3 linked regions of the Oryzias latipes genome follow. The protein of the gene in region 3 binds, or shares a complex with, the protein of the main gene of each other region. Links are inferred from orthologs where the notes say so. Each region holds a gene or a part of one and is shown on either strand. Other genes may lie near its edges. The genes, in order: dcaf1, ccna2 and samhd1.

What was found.
Region 1: the proteins of samhd1 (region 3) and dcaf1 are in contact, whole or in part, in a crystal structure (PDB 4CC9), measured with the Homo sapiens proteins. The link is inferred for Oryzias latipes from reciprocal best matches to the Homo sapiens genes SAMHD1 and DCAF1. Residues at the interface, in NP_056289.2 of Homo sapiens: Ser616, Arg617, Val618, Gln619, Lys622; in NP_001336097.1 of Homo sapiens: Asn1090, Glu1091, Asp1092, Thr1114, Gln1116, Asn1132.
Region 2: the proteins of samhd1 (region 3) and ccna2 are in contact, whole or in part, in a cryo-EM structure (PDB 9HIW), measured with the Homo sapiens proteins. The link is inferred for Oryzias latipes from reciprocal best matches to the Homo sapiens genes SAMHD1 and CCNA2. Residues at the interface, in NP_056289.2 of Homo sapiens: Lys615, Ser616, Arg617, Val618, Gln619, Leu620, Phe621, Lys622; in NP_001228.2 of Homo sapiens: Met210, Ile213, Leu214, Trp217, Glu220, Val221, Glu224, Arg250, Leu253, Gln254, Tyr280, Ile281, Thr282, Asp283, Asp284, Thr285.

What each region holds. Positions count from the first base shown.
Region 1 is NC_019865.2:16,270,517-16,273,766, forward strand, and holds the end of dcaf1 (DDB1- and CUL4-associated factor 1), read right to left. Parts: coding exon 3,242-3,250; intron 3,163-3,241; coding exon 3,067-3,162; intron 2,971-3,066; coding exon 2,691-2,970; intron 1,735-2,690; coding exon 1,679-1,734; 3' UTR 530-1,678; downstream 1-529. UniProt on the Homo sapiens protein: Acts both as a substrate recognition component of E3 ubiquitin-protein ligase complexes and as an atypical serine/threonine-protein kinase, playing key roles in various processes such as cell cycle, telomerase regulation and histone modification.
Region 2 is NC_019868.2:207,656-211,913, forward strand, and holds the start of ccna2 (cyclin-A2), read left to right. Parts: upstream 1-1,361; 5' UTR 1,362-1,729; coding exon 1,730-1,930; intron 1,931-2,237; coding exon 2,238-2,490; intron 2,491-2,587; coding exon 2,588-2,694; intron 2,695-2,764; coding exon 2,765-2,988; intron 2,989-3,063; coding exon 3,064-3,268; intron 3,269-3,346; coding exon 3,347-3,460; intron 3,461-3,635; coding exon 3,636-3,769; intron 3,770-4,258. Other genes in the region: bbs7 (Bardet-Biedl syndrome 7 protein), read left to right, coding at 236-359, 445-578. UniProt on the Homo sapiens protein: Cyclin which controls both the G1/S and the G2/M transition phases of the cell cycle. Functions through the formation of specific serine/threonine protein kinase holoenzyme complexes with the cyclin-dependent protein kinases CDK1 or CDK2.
Region 3 is NC_019865.2:14,692,119-14,696,212, forward strand, and holds the start of samhd1 (deoxynucleoside triphosphate triphosphohydrolase SAMHD1), read left to right. Parts: upstream 1-1,286; 5' UTR 1,287-1,446; coding exon 1,447-1,630; intron 1,631-1,719; coding exon 1,720-1,786; intron 1,787-1,889; coding exon 1,890-1,962; intron 1,963-2,780; coding exon 2,781-2,941; intron 2,942-3,184; coding exon 3,185-3,300; intron 3,301-3,573; coding exon 3,574-3,644; intron 3,645-4,094.

The sequences.
Region 1 (3,250 bases), about 1.6 Mb from region 3:
CAAATGTGGGTGAAACTAACTTTCAAAATAAAACCAAGTTGTTAAAAAACATTTGTGATCCAACTGTCAAGGCAAATAAATGCACTGTATTTTTTGAGGGGAAAAAAGATGGATTTATGAACTAAAATGTATAGGAATAAAGCAAGTTAGTTAAACCAATGTCAATGTCAGAGTATAATTTGAATTTTTGAAAGCTTTTTGAATCACCTGAGTCCAATGTTGATAAACAGGTACCATCTATTCCATTGTAGAAATTATCCCTATGCTCCTTCAAACATTAGATTTGCACTAATTCATTCAAATGATCTGTTTTTGTTTTGTCTTTAAAATTCACAATGGAAAAAGCCTAAGGAACTTTATTGCATAATAGTATAAATAAATTGGCCTCCCCTTGTTGCATCATCACATCACACTGTATAATAAGAAAATGTGTTTAACTTTTGCTGTATTTGAACTGTTCCTCTTAAAAAACAGATTTAACATTTGTCTGCAAACATGGGTCACTCTTCTTCAAAAAAAAGCACAGGAGTCAAAGCACAAATTGTTCCGTTTTATTTATAGTAAAAATACTTTAGATACATACAACCTGTACAGTAAATGTGTTGAGAAACTCAAAGGTCTCCAAAAGGGAAAAGTAAATCCTAGAAACAAGAGAACCAAAAAAGTATACCATGTTGCACTGCGTTAAAGTGTGCGTGTGCTAAGCCTTTGCTTTTTCAAAAATGACAGTATCCAACATGTCAGGGGGGAAAAAGAAAAAGAAAAAAAAATTCACACACAGCATATTTTTGCAGCGTTAATCACAGTTTCTCAATATTCCAAGAATTGAAACGGTTTAACCATCAGTCCGCTAATTAACCACTCACTTCAATAACCAATGAGATTTGAGAAATAAAACAAAGTTTTCTGAACTTTATTTAAATAACTGGACCTGTGCTGGTTCCAAGCACACAAAACCCTGCATTTTTCCAACCCTGCGAGCATCCATGGAAGTCGGATCACTTTGTGAGCTCAACCATAAGATTGTAAGGAGCTAAAGACATCCGCTGCCTGCTGGACGGCTGTGAACTTGTGTCACTGGTGTTGTTACAATGTCTGCACTCGCTGGAGTGACAGCTTGATCCAATTCTTCTGTTTACATAACAAAATCAGGAGACAACATCTATTATTGGAACTGCTGAGTGGCTCTTTGGCAATCAAGAGCCCCGTGTGTTAAGATCCCTACAGCTGCCTAATTCACGGATGTTGTTGGGCTGTTTTTTTTATTTATTTTTTCCCAGACAAACTACTTGCCTTGCAACTCACATGTTGTCCTTCAGTCAGGATGGGTAGAGAATTAAAAAGGAAAAGTCAGTTGAGAAGAACCATACTTTGTGTCTTCAAAGATGGAGAGAATGAATCAATTTGAAACAAACTGGCTTTTTAAAAAGCCAATAAAGTGAGAACTTCTAAAACCTTTTTTCACTACATCTACATAGTGGCCTTTTTAAACACATCAAACCAATTTTTAATAGAAAGTTATATACTTTACAATCATTTTTGCCCAATGCCATGTCTCCATGTTCTTCTCTGCTCTTTCCTACCAAGGATCATCTGTGTTTGAGACTTTTGTAGATTATCAAGACAAATAAACTGTGGTTTTCCATGGACCCCACAGTCCTGGACGATGGGGGTATCTTCACTCATTTAGGGATAAGATGATGTCATCCTCCAGATCGGAGTTGTCCGAGCTGTCTGTTGGTGCAGCAGATCAAATGGAGATTTGGATATTAAACAACAAACATTTGGTCAGAGCATCACACTAGAAGAGCAAACGTGAAGGCTTTCTAATTCGTTTTTTATTTTCATACAGGTCTTTGGTTTACTTGCGTCTTTATTCTTAAACTTACTTCTGAAATATTCAAATTTTATTTTTAAAAATAGAAGATAGTCACTCAAAAAGCAAAACCCTTTTTTTGGAGGAAGCTTAAGGTTAGGTTAACGTTTTTTTTTAAAACTGTTCTTAAAATAAGTTAAACAGGCAACAATGAGGCTTTACTCTAAAGATTTTGAAACATGTTTTTCTGACTGGGAAAAAATGTGTTATTACTGAAGGAATATGAAATAAAACTGTTTATGTAGCTTTTAAATTAATTCTCTTTATTTGGCAAAGTGTCTGACAAATATGAATTGAATTGCAAGTCTTAAAAATTAAACAGCAGTTACCACTTTGGAATCATGTGGCACCATAACAGGCACCCAAACACAAAGGAATGACTCCCAAATGAAAACCTTTTTGAAAGTGCAGCAGAAAATAAATGCACATCCACCTCAGGGAGCTCTATGAAAAACATTCCTGAAGGACTCGATTATTCCCCACAATCAGCTGTGTGGAAGCAATCAGGTGGTTGAGTTTAAGGTCAAATCTATGCCAGATCATTCAAACTGTTCTTTTTTATTCTTTTGCTGTGATACAAATAGCAAAAGAAAACTGGCAGTTCATTTCATTAATGCATTGATGAGCACCACTGATTAGATGAAAGACAGTGGCCCTAATAATATAAGTTATCAAAGGTTGTGGTTTACTTTATAGAAAATATGTAATTCACGCTCAAGTACAGAAAATTCTGTTTGAGTCAATAAAACTGAGTTCTTCCAGCAACTTGTAAAAACTACTTATAGAAATGTGTAGACTGCTCACTTATACTCACCATTGTCACCTTCCAGGTCTGCATCGTCATTGTCAGAGTCATCCTCTTCATTATCATCGTCCTCTTCATCCTCATCCTCGTCATCGTCCTCCTCGACGTCTCCATCGTCTTCAAGAAGGCGTGCGACTTCCTCATCGGATGGAGATAATGCTTCATTGCCGTCATCGTCATCATCCTCTCCTCCATTCTCGTTTTCCAGCTCAGCAATGAGAGGATCCGTATCAACGTCATCATCAGAATCGTCATCATCGTCATCGTCTTCGTCTTGGTCATCATCCTCCTGCAACACAAAAAACAAAACTAAAGTTTCAGTCATAAAGTGCAGGTATAAGATCTGCTTCTCAGTTCAGATTTTATGAAAAAAAAAAAGTTTAACCTGATCTTCCTCATCCTCCTCCTCTTCTTCTGCAAGTCGCTGCCGGCCGACTTCATAGAGGCGACACACAGTGTCAGTGTTGACAGAGTCTTGGTTCTATTGAAAAGACAATAACATAGCTTATTTTTGGAAACTTAGGCAAGCCAAAAAGATTCTTTCAAAATATAGAATTTACCTCAATCAC
Region 2 (4,258 bases), on a different chromosome or scaffold from region 3:
AATAAGCGAGAAATGCACTTTAAAGAATGTATATAATTGTATTTGAAATAGGCAAAATAATATATCACAATGGGATATATAGCTCCTACAATGAAGGATGTCTTATTCCTATTTTCTGCTGAATTGAAATTAAAATCAGGAAACCAGCGACTCTTCTCTGTGAAGGTTTGATGTTTGGTGATGTACTTGAGGTTCTGTACATTCACTTCACCCACATCTCTTCTGGAATTGTCAGGAGCTTCAGGTTCATGAGGGAAACGCCAGTTTTCTCATACCAGAGTATCGAAGCATCTTGGATGAATCTGCCAGTCTTCTGGAGGAATACAAGAAGCAGCCAGCACATCTGGAGAGGCTTTATGGTACATTGCAGAAGCCACATTTATCTTAATTTCTGTTGGTCTCCTGACACTAATTTCTATTTCTTTATATTTGTTTTTCCTGCAGGAATGATCACTGACCTCTTCATTGATAAATTCAAGTTCAAAGGCCAGAATGTGAAAACAAAGGTGTCATCTCTGTTGGAGATTCTGGATAACTATGATCTAAACTCTCTGTTAGAATTTTTCAATGATGTTTGAGGTTGGATGAAATAAAATCCATTCACGTGTTCTGCTTCTATGTTGCATCTTTATGTAATGACAGTTATAGTTTGTGTCATGGTGCCATGCTGTTTTCAGAAGCTGTCGGTTTCACAATCCACAATTATTTCTGCTTAAATCCAGACTTTATAAATTCCTCCAGGTAGTTAATACAGACTCCTCTTTTTCATTTAATAACATATCACAGGTTCATAGACAGAAATCAAAGCTAAACGGACTGCATTTCTATATGAAAATCTCTGTGAGAAACTATTTAAAAATGAAATAGTCAAAAGATGTCATATGATTTTTTAAAGATCAGACCATATTAAACTATGTAGAAATGTTTTGTGGTGTTTTTCATTGCCTGTTCAATCCCCACAACACATGACTGAACACATCTTCAGTGACGTGCTTTGTTCTTCTTTATTTTTATTATAATGGCCATTAAACCCTTAAACAGAGAATCCAGTGTATTATATTTGGAGAACCTTTTCCTTTAAATGAATCCTTACTAACTGCAGGTCAAATAAGCTCATAAGCACTTGAAATCTGACAACACTTCAGAAAGTGTCGTTTTATTTTAGTTTTTGTAAATAAACACGCTCAGAAGAGTCTGCAGACGGTTAAAATCCACGGACGTCGTCCTGACTGCCGTCTGCTTGAGCAGGGACGTTTCCTTTCGTTTGCTGCTCTGTGCCGCTGCAGACAAACGGGTCCAACCGGTTTTGAATTTGCAATCAAGACATTTGTACCACTGCGGCTCCAGTAGTTTTGCAGCGTCACCATCTGTGCGCTTTGTGATTGGTTGGTTCAATCCTCGCGGGCTACTTGAACTGAGAGAAAGCAGAACCCTGTTCCTAAATGTCTGCTTGCTAGTGGTTCGTGTCCTGGTCGGTTGTGCTGTGGACCCGCGTGACTATGGAACCGTAGTGTGTTTGTGTCCCGCGCTTTGGAATCGCTCTACCGCTCACGCGCTCCTCTGCTGTGGCGCTGCTGTTCTGTTTTTTCGTTGCCATCTCAACTGTTTAGTTTTGAGTTTATTCGGCTCCACTTCAGGCTAGCACCCGACCCGATCCCCGCTACGAACGACGAGGGGTCCCGAAGAGTTCAAAGGTCAAAGCCAGCAGCGAGTGTTTGTTGCAGGAAACATGTCGGCGGCAAACCGAAGCGCGGCGAGTGAGCTCCAAAACCAGGAGAACATGCCGTCCAGCAGGCTGAGAGGCGCCATCAAAGCCCGGCCTGCAGCCAGCGAAAACCTTCCGCCCAAACAGGCTGCCAACAGAACCGTGCTGGGAGCTCTGCAGAACCACCAGCGGAACAAAACCCAAAGCCTCCGCGGCGCAAAGCAGGTAGCATGCCGCCGCACGGCCCGCTCCGCGGCGGGGCGCCAGCCGCCGGTTATCCGGCTGTGCTCCCGGTTCCTCACGGCTGTGGCTCGGTTCTAGCACCGTGATAACAGTCATTCGCCTTTAGCATCTGAACCTGTCTTAGATCTGCTTCTGGAGATGGTCTTTGTAGTTTCATGTTCAGTCTGTGCGCCATTTTAGCCTCACTCCTCCTAGTTTACCTTACAGACTGTTCTGTCTTCTGAAGCAGATCTGCTGCTGTTTGCCTTCAGAGCAGAAACTCACCTTTCTTGTGTTCTGTTGCCTCCAGGACTCTGCTCTACCCTCATCCTGTAAAGCTGACGATTATGGGAAAAGCGTCCTGGAAAAGCCGCCTGTCAAGCAGCCGGCCTTCCAGATCCACATGGATGAGCCTGATGGCGCCTGCACCAAGAAGACCGTGTCTGAGGCCCTCAGAGCCAGGGCCCCGGCCCCTCGCTCTCCTGTGGCCGTCCACAACGCCCTGACATGCCGACAGCCCCTGGCTGCCCTCGATGTCCCGTTGGTTGTGGAAGCCGGCTTTGGTGGGCTGCTGTAGAATCTTGGCTTGTTTAGTAATGACCGATGTTGGCTTTGGTGTCAAAGTGAGGTGTCATCATCTGTGCACTAAATGACTTTCAGATTCTCCCATGGACATGTCGTTGGTGGAGGTGGACGACAAACAAGTTAATGTCAACGAAGTCCCAGAATATGCAGCTGAAATTCATTTGTACCTGAGGGAGATGGAGGTGAGAGACTCTCCTTTTCCTTTCTTCCCCTCCTGTCATCTCTGCTACAACAATCGGGTATTTGTTTCAGGTGAAAACCAGACCGAAGGCCGGCTACATGAAGAAGCAGCCTGACATCACAAACAGCATGAGGGCCATCCTGGTGGACTGGTTGGTGGAGGTTGGAGAAGAGTACAAGCTCCACAATGAAACGCTGTATCTGGCCGTTAACTACATTGATCGCTTCCTCTCGTCGATGTCCGTCCTGAGGGGCAAACTCCAGCTTGTTGGGACTGCTGCCATGCTGCTGGCTGCGTATGTGCCAATTATCCTGCCCAGGAAAACACGACTAGTTTGGTTCGGAAAGGTTGAATGACTTTGTATGTGCAGGAAATTCGAAGAGATTTACCCTCCTGAGGTGGCAGAGTTCGTCTACATCACAGATGACACGTACACCAAGAAGCAGGTGTTGAGGATGGAGCATCTGGTGCTCAAAGTCCTGTCATTTGATCTGGCAGCACCAACGATAAACCAGTTTCTTACTCAGTACTTCTGCCACCACGGCGTCAACAAACAGGTGGAAAGCTTGGCAATGGTGAGTGTTCATGTGGTCCGTCGTGTTGGTCTACAGAAGCATATGGATGTGCTCTGACGGTGCTTGATCTGTCCTCAGTACCTCGGGGAGTTGAGTTTGATAGATTCAGACCCCTTCTTGAAGTACCTGCCATCGCAGACGGCGGCTGCAGCCTACATCCTCGCCAACCATGCAGTGACCGGCGGCTCTTGGGTGAGACTATTTCCCTCCAACTTAAGTTAGGAATGTGAAGGGTTATACGCTTGAATGTTTTGGTTTGAGATGCTTTATGGGGACGTGGGGCTGTTTGTCACATGCCAGGCTGAGGCTCATGGTGGTTGTGGAAATGTAAAATTGGTTCACTGACATTTTCTCTGCTCTGCTCCAGCCCAAATCCTTGGCAGAGATGACGGGCTACATGCTAGTAGACCTGATGCCGTGCATCGAAGACCTTCACAAGATGTTCCTGAGCGCCGCTCAGCACGCCCAGCAGTCTGTCCGCGAGAAGTACAAGGCCTCCAGGTGAGCTGCCGTACTTTGATTTTGTGTACTTCTATTTAAGGATCGTTGGAAAATATTTGTATTACTCTAAAAAAGTATCAGAGGAATCTGACAATTTCTGAGAGCTCAACTAGCAGTAAAAACTTCCCAACCACATTTTTTTTTTTTTACAATAAGTAACCTTAAATTCAATTAAATGATGGCTAAAAATGTGTCTTTAGTTGTACCGCGAGATTAGAGGTGTTAAGATGATCGGATAATTCTGAAAAGTTGCATGGAAACAAAAGGCGGCTCCAGACTCCAGCATCTTCACTGTTGATGGTAAACTCCTTGGCCTGTTACTCACTTCAGTGACACTGCAGGGAGGAACATGGTTTCAGAAATGTGTAGCATTTGTCCTCTAAGCTGAGAATGTTGTAAAAATCCTCAGTCGTGTAATCAGAATGCAGATTCCTGAAGGCTGGCAGTCCTCCAGGAGACGCTGTCGTACTCTGACGTTGTCTTTTCTCC
Region 3 (4,094 bases):
CATATTTACTTAAAATTGATATAGCCACATCTCATGATGACATGGAAGGATAAAGGGAGGCACTACCTTACCTGCAGACCTTGATTTTTTATACACATATTTATAGAGAGTAGTCCAACTTTTGCTCTTGTTTGGTTTTGTCAAGATAAAGTTAAAGTAAAATGTCTGTGCATTTTGTCATTTTGCTTCTTTAAATTTAAGAAGCATCTGATTGCATCTGTCGTTTTAAATTGGCATCAGTTGTTTAATCTACGTTCCGGATTATGCAGCAGTCCCTGTATGTAAATCAAACTACACTGTTTTTAATTTTTTATAAGTGCTCGTTGTTTTTGTTTTGTTTTTTCTCTAATGCCGGATGCTGAAACAGCCTGCCAATATTTTATTTCTTTTTTCATCTTTCGGTTTCTTTATAGTGTTCATAGGAAATCCGTGTATTTTATTTAGAGGAAAACAGATTTACAAATTAGCGAGAATTTACGGTGACAACGCTCCATTTACTGCCATGCGCGATTTAAGACTCCAAAAGCAGAAGTAATCTTGCTCCGCCCTCCTCACGTCACTGAAAGCGCGAGCGCGGATAAAAAGATGCAAATGTACCGGAAGTAAGCCTTCTATCTACCCCGTATCCTGTCAAGATAAAGCCACAGTTGTTTGGTTAATAAGAAAATATGGCAGTCCAAATCTCTATTACTGTCAATGGGTATACCCTGGATATACATTGAATAGGGTCACTGATCCATTGATTTTAGATATTTTTATTCCCAATTTACCCTGTGATTGTATGTCTTTCTCTCCCCTCTTAACTTGAGGTCTGAAAGTTTGGAATTTGCAGGAACCATTCTTCCAGATGAAGCACAGCACTTATAATTGTAGCTCCCACACAGACCAATGTCTGTCAGACCTATGGTAGTTCCTGATCTTGAACATTGTTTCTCCCTGGTGATGTTATTTTTTGGGATTGCTCAATTTATCAATAGTAAGGCATTGTCTCTGTATTTTCCAGCATTATTATGTCCTGTCTCTAATTCAAAACAAATTTAAAGCACAAAATTGTGACTTTTTTTTGACTGCAAATTAAGATAAGGCAGTGTTTTCATGTTTTATGCTCTGAAGCAATAACATACCAATTAAGACAACAGTCGCTACTAACAGAGTTTCATATAAAATGTTTAAAACTCAAATGTCCCAATGTTTTCTTGAGACATAATTTTAGCTCAACACTCAATTGAAAATTCTAACGATAGTTTTATTGTGAAAAACAGAACCGGAAAGCCCGGTTCATGAAGTGATGCATTTAGAGGAAACACAAAACCCGGGATCTTTCTGTTTGGCGTGCTGCGTTGGACACCGGTAGATCAGTCGTTGAAATCGTCTCAAGACACGTTGTTTGCGACGTTGTATTCGCCCTATTAGCCGTCGATTAGCTGTCCTTTGGCCTTTTTCTGCATGGAGAACAGAAAGCGACCGCTGGACTCCGTGTTGAGCTCCAACGACCGCTTCAAAACCCCAGAGAAGAAGAGGCTGTCGCCGGTCCTGCTGCCGGGGTCTGACCTGCTGCAGTGGGGAGTGGAGGAAACCTGTCAGTTTCTGCGAAAGGAAGGTCTCGGGGAATGGGAGAATGCATTTAGAGGTGAGGTGTGCTGTGTACCTGCAGCTTCAGTATGTGTACACCCATGTTGTTGTTACTTTTCTTTTATTTGTTTGTTTTGCTGTGTTAAGCACAAAGAATCACAGGCGTTGGACTGCGCTATCTCAATGATGCAGACCTGAAAACAATAGGCATAGAGTAAGTGTAAAGAGAGAGAAATGCTTATCTTTTAGACCCCTTTCCCTTCCATCATTTGTCACAGTGTTTCTCTGGTTCATACCTGTGTGATCAAACCTTTCAGGTGTCTTGGTGTCCGCCTGCGCATCCTGCACAGCCTCAGGAAACTCTGGCAAATAGACACAGAGGCGAACAAGGTAAAGGCGTATGGGCTTTGAGGTCAAATGAGTTCACTTTCACCTTTTGGTGACCTCTGAGGAAAAAAAGTATTTGCCATGATGTTCAACCCCAATAGAGAAATCTTATTATGCTTGTGAGTTATGTTCTCTGAAGCTATGCACACACCTGGCATTTGATGCAGGTTCAAAAACACACTACATGCATGTTCTTCAGCGTGCATTAGCCCTTGGTGTTCACACTGGACAAACAGGGAGGGGCTTGTTCTTCTTTTTTTCCTACTGTTTACTAGCGCATGTTCACCACCTGCTGCTGGGAAAATCTTGGTGTGAAATGTCACAGTGGCCTAAATCAAGCGATTTGGGCACAAACGGGAAAAGGTTTGGTTCATTTCTAGCATCCTGACAATGGCAGATATGGATTACCATCATGTCAGGAGAGTAGCCTTGGTTTTTATATTTATTTGACAAACAAACGTCGTCAGGCTTGTTGGTGTGTCTGGGTTCATCAGATAAACCATATCCATAAGTCACTGCCAAGTGCAGGTCAAAATTTGATCTGGTTTACCGTTTACTTGCAACGCACATTCCATGGCCACACATTTTGTTTTTGGGCCCAAAGTGATTGTAAAAGCTTGCATAGATAGAGCGAGAGCTTTGAATGCAGAACCCGGAATGCGTATTTACATAGGCTTTTTATTGGAAGTACTTGAACGTGTGTTGCCGAGGGCGATGTGAACGTAGCTTCATACATCAAAAATGAGGATATGAGTTGTTTTCTATACTAATTTGATTTAGCTCCAGTTTTGGATCAAGCTTGTTGTTTTGTTTTGTTCCAGGTGTTCAATGACCCCATTCACGGCCATGTGGAGTTGCACCCCCTCCTCATCAAAATTATTGACACGCCACAGTTCCAGAGACTACGCAATATCAAGCAGCTTGGAGGGACATACTTTGTTTTCCCTGGAGCATCCCACAACCGCTTTGAACACAGTATTGGGTACAAACAGAATTAGATTGGAATGAATCAGGGTTTTTCACACCTTGATTTGCTGTTATATACAACTAAGGAGTAAAAACATATCAGGATTAGGGTTTAGACAGTCTGGGTTAGTGCCTTCAGTAAGTTATGGATATGGCCTTTGCCTAGAGAATTATATGACAAACCAGGGAATTCCTTTTAAATAATTGTTTGTTTTTAATCCTAATTTATGAAAGTGTTTTTCTTTCTTTCTTCACACAGTGTGGGTTATTTGGCTGGACAACTTGTTCAGGCTCTAAATGAAAGACAGCCTGAACTGCTGATCTGTCATAGAGACATCCTATGTGTGCAGATTGCAGGGCTCTGCCATGATCTGGGTGAGTAGAGAATCTGCAGAAAAATTATTCCAGATATTTTTATTATTATTATTTTTGCTAGATGCAACAGCAAATTAGTTATTTTCAAAGCCATCAAAACTTTTCTGTTTTAGCACACAAAAATAAAGACAAACAAAGTCACGTTTTATAAAAGTAAAACCTGATCAATTCATTGAACAAATTCATTTACAAACTGTTCTGTTTGTTTGTGCACCAAGGTGCTCATGATGTTGTTAATTCTGTTTACATTTGTCCTGTTGACCTGTATTTCAGGACACGGACCCTTTTCCCACATGTTTGATGGCATGTTTATCCCTAAAGCCTGTCCACAAGTTAATTGGAAGGTAGGAAAGTCACCTTGTTTCAACTCCTTTTAGAGACGAGCTTTATCTTATCTTAGTTGTGTTGTGACTCACAAAATCAACACACCAGTGCAGACAGGGGTGCTTTGCAAATGACAATAAATATTGATGCAGAAAATAAATAGCTATGCTTCTACAACCACAAATCTTTCAGCCAATATTTGAAGTTTCCATGCTAACTCAATTAACAGATCTTTTGACTAAATTCTTTTTAATGGTTTAGCTATAATTTCTGGGAAATAGTTTTGCAGAAATGTTTAGTGTTTGCAAAAGTTGTTTTTAAGAGACAAACGGAAAGCGCCTGGAGCCACTGATGAGTCATTGATAAAACACTAGCACCACCCTAACAACAGTTTAACTTTGCATCACATGAATGTTCATGTTTAATATTCCTAGAATCTTTGTATGAGACGAAATCTTTTCTTCATGTTG